Callithrix jacchus: one gene and its partner. The protein of the gene in region 1 interacts with the protein of each later gene in a pairwise test. Links are inferred from orthologs where the notes say so. Each region holds a gene or a part of one and is shown on either strand. Other genes may lie near its edges.

Region 1 (3,566 bases):
GTTTAGACCATTTACATTTAGTGTGTTACTGATATGTGGATTTAAATATGGCATTACATTTTAATTCAGAGTATTAAAATTCAGTGTCAATGAAGTTAGCAAATTTTAAATCTGTAAGAAGTAATATTTAAAGGCTCTGGAATAGAGCTATTTTATATGTTAAAAAAAACTTACCAGATGCCAGGCATGGTGGCTCATGCCCATAATCCCAGCACTTTGGGAGGCTGAGGCAGGTGGATCACAAGGTCAAGAGATTGAGACCAGCCTGACCAACATGGTGAAACCCCATCTCTACTTAAAAATACAAAAATTAGCTAAGCACGGTGGCACACACCTGTAATCCCAGCTACTTGGGAGGTGGAGTGAACTGCTTAAACCTGGGAGGCAGAGTTTGCAGGGAGCCGAGAACACACCACTGCACTCTAGCCTGGGCGACAGAGCGAGACTCCGTCTCAAAAAAAAACAAGGCCGGGTGCGGTGGCTCACGCCTATAATCCCAGCACTTTGGAAGGCCGAGGTGGGTGGATCACAAGGTCAAGACATAGAGACATTCCTGGCCAACAAGGTGAAACCCCGTCTCTACTAAAAATACAAAAATTAGCTGGGCATGGTGGTGCATGCCTATAGTCCCAGCTACTACGGAGGCTGAGGCAGGAGAACTGCTTGAACCCAGGAGGTGGAGGTTGCGGTGAGCCCAGATCGTGCCATTGCACTCCGGTCTGGGTAACAAGAGCGAAACTCCGTCTCAAAAAAAATAATAATAAATAAATAAATAAAAATTTAAAAAATTAAAACAAAAAAACTTACCAGAATGAGTTCAAAAAGTGTTCCTTGGTCAACTTTCAGGAATTCTTGGTCCCAAACAGGAATATCATCTGTTCGCTTTTCTTTGTTCTCATCATCCTCAGGAGGAGGAGGGTCATCCTTGTGGTGGGTGCACCACTGAATGACCTACAACAACAAGTTGATTCTTCAGTGGCATTTTGTCAAAGGTACTCATTCCACTGCTGGGACAACTTATCTCTATGTTGGGATAATAACTAGCTAGAGGTTGACTTGAGCAATTAACAGCCAAGCTTGAAAAGCAAAAATGAAGCTTGAAGAATCTTTATAACCCTAGAAGGCAGAAGATCTTATTAGATAAAAGCAAGCCATGTAGACAGAGTACCATACTTGACCACATTAAAAAGCTTCTACGCAGCTGGGCGTGGTGGCTCACGCCTATAATCCCAGCACTTTGGGAGGCTGAGGCAGGCGAATCACAAGGTCATAGATGCGACCAGCCTGGCCAACATGGTAGAACCCGTCTCTACTAAAAAAATACAAAAAATTAGCTGGGCATGGTGGCCGGTGTAATTTCAGTTATTCAGAAGGCTGAGGCAGGAGAATCACTTGAACCCAGGAGGCAGAGGTTGCAGTGAGCCAAGACGGCACCACTGCATTCCATCTCAAAAAAAAAAACGTTTCTATGCAAAAAGAAAAGTTAGACAGGACAATGACTGGAGGATATCTCCAAAACGTAGAACAATGATTAGCCTAGAGAATATAAAATATTTTAAAAGTCACTATAGAGAAATGGGTTAAAGATATGTACAGGCAATAAATGAAAACTGAGTAGTCAAATGTAAGGAACACTCAACTTCTTAGAAGCAAAACTAACACTACAGATACTTCTCTAGAATGAAAAAAAATCAAGAAATTGATACTAATTGTTGGACAATAGTGGAAAGGAAACACGAACTCGAGTATAAATTGGTATAACCCATTTTATACTAATCCAGCACTCCTTAGTAAAGCTGAATATGTGCATATACTGTAACCAGGAAATTCCAAATACCCCAGACACATCTGTAAGACTATATGGTGCAACAACAAAACAGCAAAAGCCCCAAAGTTCCCTTAATAAGAGAATAATGACTTCATAAAGTTTCAGGAAGCTGATTACCTACATACCAACATAAAGACCAAAATCAATACTTAAAGTGTTTTAAGTTGTAGAATCTAGGCAGTGGCCGTATAGGTGTCCACTGTGTAATTCTTTCAATTTTTCTGTATGGTTAAAACGTTTTCATAGGAAAATGTTGGAGAAATAAACAATGCTGAGAGAAAATAGTAGAGCCAAGAAATTATATTGCCAGGATACAAAAAAACAAAAAAGAAAGAAATAACAGTTTCAATAAGGCAAAGCCAAGCAAGGGTTTTTTGTTCATTTGTTTTTGAGACAAGGCGTCACTCACTGTGTCACCCAGGCTGGAATGCAGTGCCGTAATCATGGCTCACTCGACCTCCTGTGCTTAAGCAATCCTCCCACCTCAACCTCCCGAGTAGCTGGGGCTACAGGTGCATGCCACCACACCTGGCTCATCTTTTTATTTTGTTTTTGTAGGGATAAGGTTTCATCATGTTGCTCAGGCTGGTTTCAAACTCCTAAACTCAATCAATTCACCCACCTTGCCCTCCCAAAGTGTTGAGATTACAGGTTATGAGCCACCATGCCTAACCAGCAAAGGGTTTTAATGAAACTTCTTAAGCAGTATTCCAATAATATAAAAGGAACAAATGGCAATTAATATTTGCTTATCTGGGCATTTTAAAAACTCTAAAGCTAGGCACAGTAATCCCAGAAATTTGGGAGGCTGAGGCAGGAGGACTGCTGAGTGCCAGAAGTTCAAAACTAGCCTAGGCAATGTAGCAAGACCCCACCTCTACAAAAAAATGATAATAATAATAATAAATAGGCTGATCGAGGAGGCTCACACCTGTAATCCTAGCACTTTGGGAGGGTAAGGTGGGAGAGATGCTTAAGCCCAGAAGTTCGAGACCAGCCTGGGTAACATGGTGAAACCGTCTCTTTAAAAAATACAAAAATGAGCCAGGGGCGGTGGCGTACATCTACGGTCCCAGGTACTCAGAAGGTTGAGAAAAAAGAATCACTTGAGCCCAGGAAGTTGAGGCTGAAGCAAACCATGATTGCGCCACTGCACTCTAGTCTGGGCAAGAGAGAAAGAGATTCTGTCTCAAAAAAAAAAAAAAAAAATTACTACCACTACTAATAAAAAAATAATAAAATTTAAAAATAAAAAACTCTTTAAAGGATATATAAGAAACTAATGCCTGCCTACGTTCACAACGGGTAGCGCCAGTAAAAAAGAAAAACAATAAAAAATGCCACATTACTTTCTGGGGGGAATAGTTTCCCATCAGATAAGAGACAACGATGGGAAATTTTACTGTACACTTTCAGTTTTGGCATCATGTAATTATTATTCAAAATACAATATACATTCAATGCAAACAGGCTTTAAAAAAAAAAAAAAACTTCTTAGCTAGGTGTGGTGGCTCACACCCATAATCCCAGCAATCTGGGAGGCCAAGGGAGACAGATCACTTGAGCCCAGGAGTTCCACACCAGCCTGGGCTACACAGTGAAACTCCACCTCTATAGAAAATACAAAAATTAGCCAGGTGTGGTGGCATGCGCCTGTAGTCCCAGCTACTCAGGAGGCTGGAGTGAGAGGATCACCTGAACCTGGGAGGTAGAGTTGCAATGATCCATGACTGCACCA
Region 2 (4,203 bases), on another chromosome or scaffold:
GTAGGTGATTTTTATTTTCTTTGTATTTAGCAATATTTCCTGTTTTATGTGAAGGAGATAAATTTTCTTTGTATTAAAAGAGCAAAATAAATTTGTTTTCCTTGAAAGCAAAACAAGAAAAAACAGGGGAAGCCCTGCAAGTGACAAGTGGGTCCAGGAGCGCGTGGCAGGGAGCCAGCCATGGAGGTAAGACCAGCAGTGGAGGTGAGTCCTAGGAAAGTGGGCTGGGAAGTAGGAGAGAGCGGGAACCTCCCCTGGAAACGTTCCCTCTTTCAGGTCTTCCTAGCCCCTTGAGGTGGGAATGTTGACCAGATGGATGTGGTCCCACCCCAAAGGGTGGAAGTGGGGATTCAGTGGGACCAGTGTCTGCCCATCATGCCTGCGTGGGGGTTGTGGGGGGAAGCAGGGAGTTCTGGGAACCTGGAGATGGGGGATGCTCCGTCACACTCACTGGTACCAGACAGATGGCGGAGGTGAGCCAGGCTGGAGGTCGAGTTAACAGGGTAAAGAGGCCAGGGCCCTAGTTTTGCAATCCGCTGATTGGCAGCTCCTCCTATGTGTTCTTTCAAAGAAGCCCCTCTTGGGAAGCCCTTCGCCCCACCCACCTGTTGTCGTTCCTTTTTTGGGCGGGGCTGAGGCTTCCAGGCTGGGTCTTGAGAAATCTTGGTGGGCGGAAACTGTGGGGCACTTGAGTATCAACTAACAACGTTTGCCTCTATTTCCAGGGGCGAGCCAAGCACGGTGCCCCTTGAACACCTAACAGTCCCGGGAGAAGACCCACCTCTGGCTGGATGGACCGGGATCGCCTGTGGGAGTGGCTCAGAACTGAAAGCCTGCGACTCCTGGCGACCGGCCAGGCACACCCCCTACTCAGCTACACTGCTCCCGAGCGCTGGAGGGGAGCTTCCAGTAGCCCACTAGCTACTGGGCTCCCACTAGCCCACCCTCAAGCTGGCGTTTTGCACTTGCGATTAACTGGGGTGGGCAGAGGGGTCTCCGCTCAAGGGAGTGTTCAGAACCAGCCCCTCCTCCCCCACCCTCTCTCCTGCAGGGCCCTACTGCCCCTCGAAAGCCCTGTCAGGGAAAAGGAACCTGCGGGCACCAAATTCCGTACCGCCCCCCGCCTCCCACGAGAACAGCCCAATAGGCCGCCGTCACCAGCTGGCTAGAGCAGCCGCCGGTGACATCTGCGCCGCGCCCACGCGTCGGAGACAGGATCCACCTCGGCTCCCGCCTGCATTGGGGAGCCCACCTACCCACCTCCCCTCTATACTAACCTGGCCGCCTCGGCCGGGCCTGGGTTCCCACGCCCGCCAGGCTCCGCTCCACTCGCGCCGCTTCCGGGTGTGCGCGGAGGCTCTGGGGCGGCGCCCCAGCCCTAGCCACCCTGTCCGCCCGCGTGTCCCGCCCCGGTGGCTGCTTCCCGCCTGCTGTCCTCTGAGGTCAGTCCCTCGCACCGGGCAAAGCCCATCTAGTCCCCTGAGCAGGTAAGACACAGGCGCCCAAGTTTAGACGGCAGGAAGACCTGGACTTTGGGGGTTTGCGATTCTTACGAGGCCGGGGGCTCAGAAGAGCGAGAGTTGCCAGACTTTGGTAGAAAGGGGGCGCCCTCTGTAGACCAGAATTTTCTGGTGCCCCTGGGGATCCGGCTGCATGATAGCTGCTACGACTGGACACTGAAAACAGGGTGCTCATGGGTCCCAGGTACAAGCCTGGTAGAGCGTATCTGAAGCCCCAGGAAACACGTGGCACAAATTCCGGGAGAAACTTAGCCCGGAAGATATGGGGACATTAGCTGGCGACTGGTGTGAAGCCTTCTGTATGCAAACCTTCAGGAACCTTAAAACAAGATTGGGGGTTGGGTGCGGTGGCTCAAGCCTGTAATCCCAGCACTTTGGGAGGCCAAGCCGGACGGATCACGAGGTCAGGAGTTCGAGACCAGCCTGGCCAATATGGTGAAACCTCGTATCTACTAAAAATACAAAAATTAGCCGGGCGTGGTGGCGCCTACCTGTAATCCCAGCTACTCGGGAAGCTGAGGCAAAAGAATCGATTGAACCCGGGAGGCGCAGGTTGCAGTGAGCCGATATCGCGCCACTGCATTCCAGCCTGGGCGACAGAGCTAGACTCTGTCTCAAAACAAAACACCAAGATTGGCAACTTCAAAGAGGACGCACACGTTCCAGTAACCCCATCCCCCAGTAAAGGCCGCGCTCCGGGGTGGGTGTGCGGAGTTCCAGCCGAATCCAAATTGCCCGCGGGAGGCAGGGCTGCTCAGGGTTCGAAACTTGAACTTTGAGTCCCTAGAGCCGTCTCAGGCACTAGAGCCGTCAGGTCCCAGAGCCCCAAGCTTTTTCTCACCCTGTCTTAGGAAGCACCCGGGACACAGCCGTCAGGTCCCAGAGCCCCAAGCTTTTTTTCACCCTGTCTTAGGAAGCACCCGGGACACATCCCCGTGAGGCGGAGGCGGGGAAGGAGTCTCCCCTCTCGGGGCGTATTCAGCTGTGCCCCGCCCACGCCCCGCTTCCTGATTGGCTCACGGTCCCGGACAAAGAAAAGTCTGAATTAATGTTCCCGCCTTATTAACCCTGCAGTCACTTGCTGGTGTTAAGATGGGGTATCTCAGGCCCGGCATGATGGTTCATGCCTGTAATCCCAGCACTTTGGGAGACCGAGGCGAGCCGATCGCTTGAGCCCAGGAATTCATGGCCAGTTTGGGCAACAAAGCGAGACCTCGTCTCTGCAACAAAATTACAAAAATTAGCCAGGCTTGCTGGCTTGCCCCTGTAGTCCCAGCTACTAGGGAGGCTGAGGTGTGAGGATTGCTTGAGCCCGGGAGACTGAGGGTGCAGCGAGTTGTCAGTGCGCCACTGCACTCCAGCCTGGGTAAAGAGCGAGACCCAGTCTCAAAAAAAAAAGGTGAGGTTTCTCAACGTGGAACCTGTGGAGTCACCCGGGGCTTGTTGAAATGCAGATTCCTGGGCCTTACCCTTTCAGGAGAACCTGATTTAGTAGGTGAGGTTGTGAAATCTGCTTTGTGAACAAGTGTTAGGGTTATCTGATGCCCCATGATGTCTGAGAGGGCCTCAGTTCCTCAGGCCACATGCGTTTGTACAACAAAGCTTGATCTTCCCGCAACGCTTTGCGCCTTCCTGAGCCCAGAGACATCCCTCTTTCTCCAGGCCAGAGCTATTGGGAGTGGCGGATCCTCCCACCCCAGACGGATCTGGGCCATGGCTGAGCCTGGAGAGCGACTGCCAGAGGAGGTGCTGGCGCTCATCTTCCGCCACCTGTCCCTGAAGGACCGTGCTGCAGCCGCCAGGGTCTGCAGGGCCTGGGCTGACGCTGCTAACTCCAGCGCAGTGTGGCACGACACAAAAATCAGGTGAGCCTGCTCCTCCACACCCCTCTCCCTGCCTCCCTTTCACCTTCTCTGTGGAGTCGTGGGCTAGGCAGATTCAGGTTGACTCCCCCATATTAAAAAATAATCGCTGACATTTATTAACTGCCTAACACATACCAACCATTGTTTTTAAGTGCCTTACATATATTAACTAATTTAATCCCTACGAAAACCTTGTGTGGTAGATAGGTATCATTACCTCCATTGCCCAGATAGGAAACTGAGGCAGAGAGACTTAATCACTTCCCACGGATCACTCAGCTAGGGAATGGCAGAGGCGGAATTCCAAGCTAGCAGTCCAGAGGCCAGGCCAAGACACCTTAGAGACAGCTGAGAAAGTCCAGTTCCTAAAATATCATTGGTTCTCCATACCCGGGTTTCAACCTGTGGCAGATGCCACTAAACTCTTCTGAAAGGATAGGATGGGAGTTCCCTCCTTTGGGTCAACAGGTGTGGTCTGTACAGAGGTGGGGAGGGAGGCAGGAAGTAGGATGGCAGCTGGAACCCCAGCTAAGGCGTAGGTAGAGGCTTCTCCCCCGGTCTTGGGGACTCAGCCGAGGCCTTTTCTGCACGACTCTAACCCAAGTTGCGAATGTGAGCTGGAAGGCATGCTGCCACCTTATCTGTCCGCCTGCCTTGACCACGTTCACAACCTACGGCTGGAATTTGAGCCGTCGAGGGAGCCGAGTCGCCGGGCGGCCATCAAACTGCTGATGACTCTGGCGGACCGTGCCCTAGGGCTGCGAGGCCTCTGCCTGGAGTGCCGCGGAGAAAAGCCGCTCTTCGACTCGGGCCACGAC

Evidence for each region. The genes of interacting proteins can lie anywhere in the genome.
Region 2: the proteins of SKP1 (region 1) and FBXL8 interact in binary tests that used the Homo sapiens proteins (3 or more experiments, as listed by UniProt). The link is inferred for Callithrix jacchus from reciprocal best matches to the Homo sapiens genes SKP1 and FBXL8.

Annotation. Positions count from the first base shown.
Region 1 is NC_133503.1:74,173,112-74,176,677, reverse strand, and holds part of SKP1 (S-phase kinase-associated protein 1), read right to left. Parts: intron 952-3,566; coding exon 808-951; intron 1-807. UniProt on the Homo sapiens protein: Essential component of the SCF (SKP1-CUL1-F-box protein) ubiquitin ligase complex, which mediates the ubiquitination of proteins involved in cell cycle progression, signal transduction and transcription.
Region 2 is NC_133521.1:24,668,481-24,672,683, forward strand, and holds the start of FBXL8 (F-box/LRR-repeat protein 8), read left to right. Parts: upstream 1-1,389; 5' UTR 1,390-1,442; exon of another isoform or gene 1,443-1,487; intron 1,488-3,182; 5' UTR 3,183-3,233; coding exon 3,234-3,385; intron 3,386-3,602; exon of another isoform or gene 3,603-3,989; coding exon 3,990-4,203. UniProt on the Homo sapiens protein: Substrate-recognition component of the SCF (SKP1-CUL1-F-box protein)-type E3 ubiquitin ligase complex.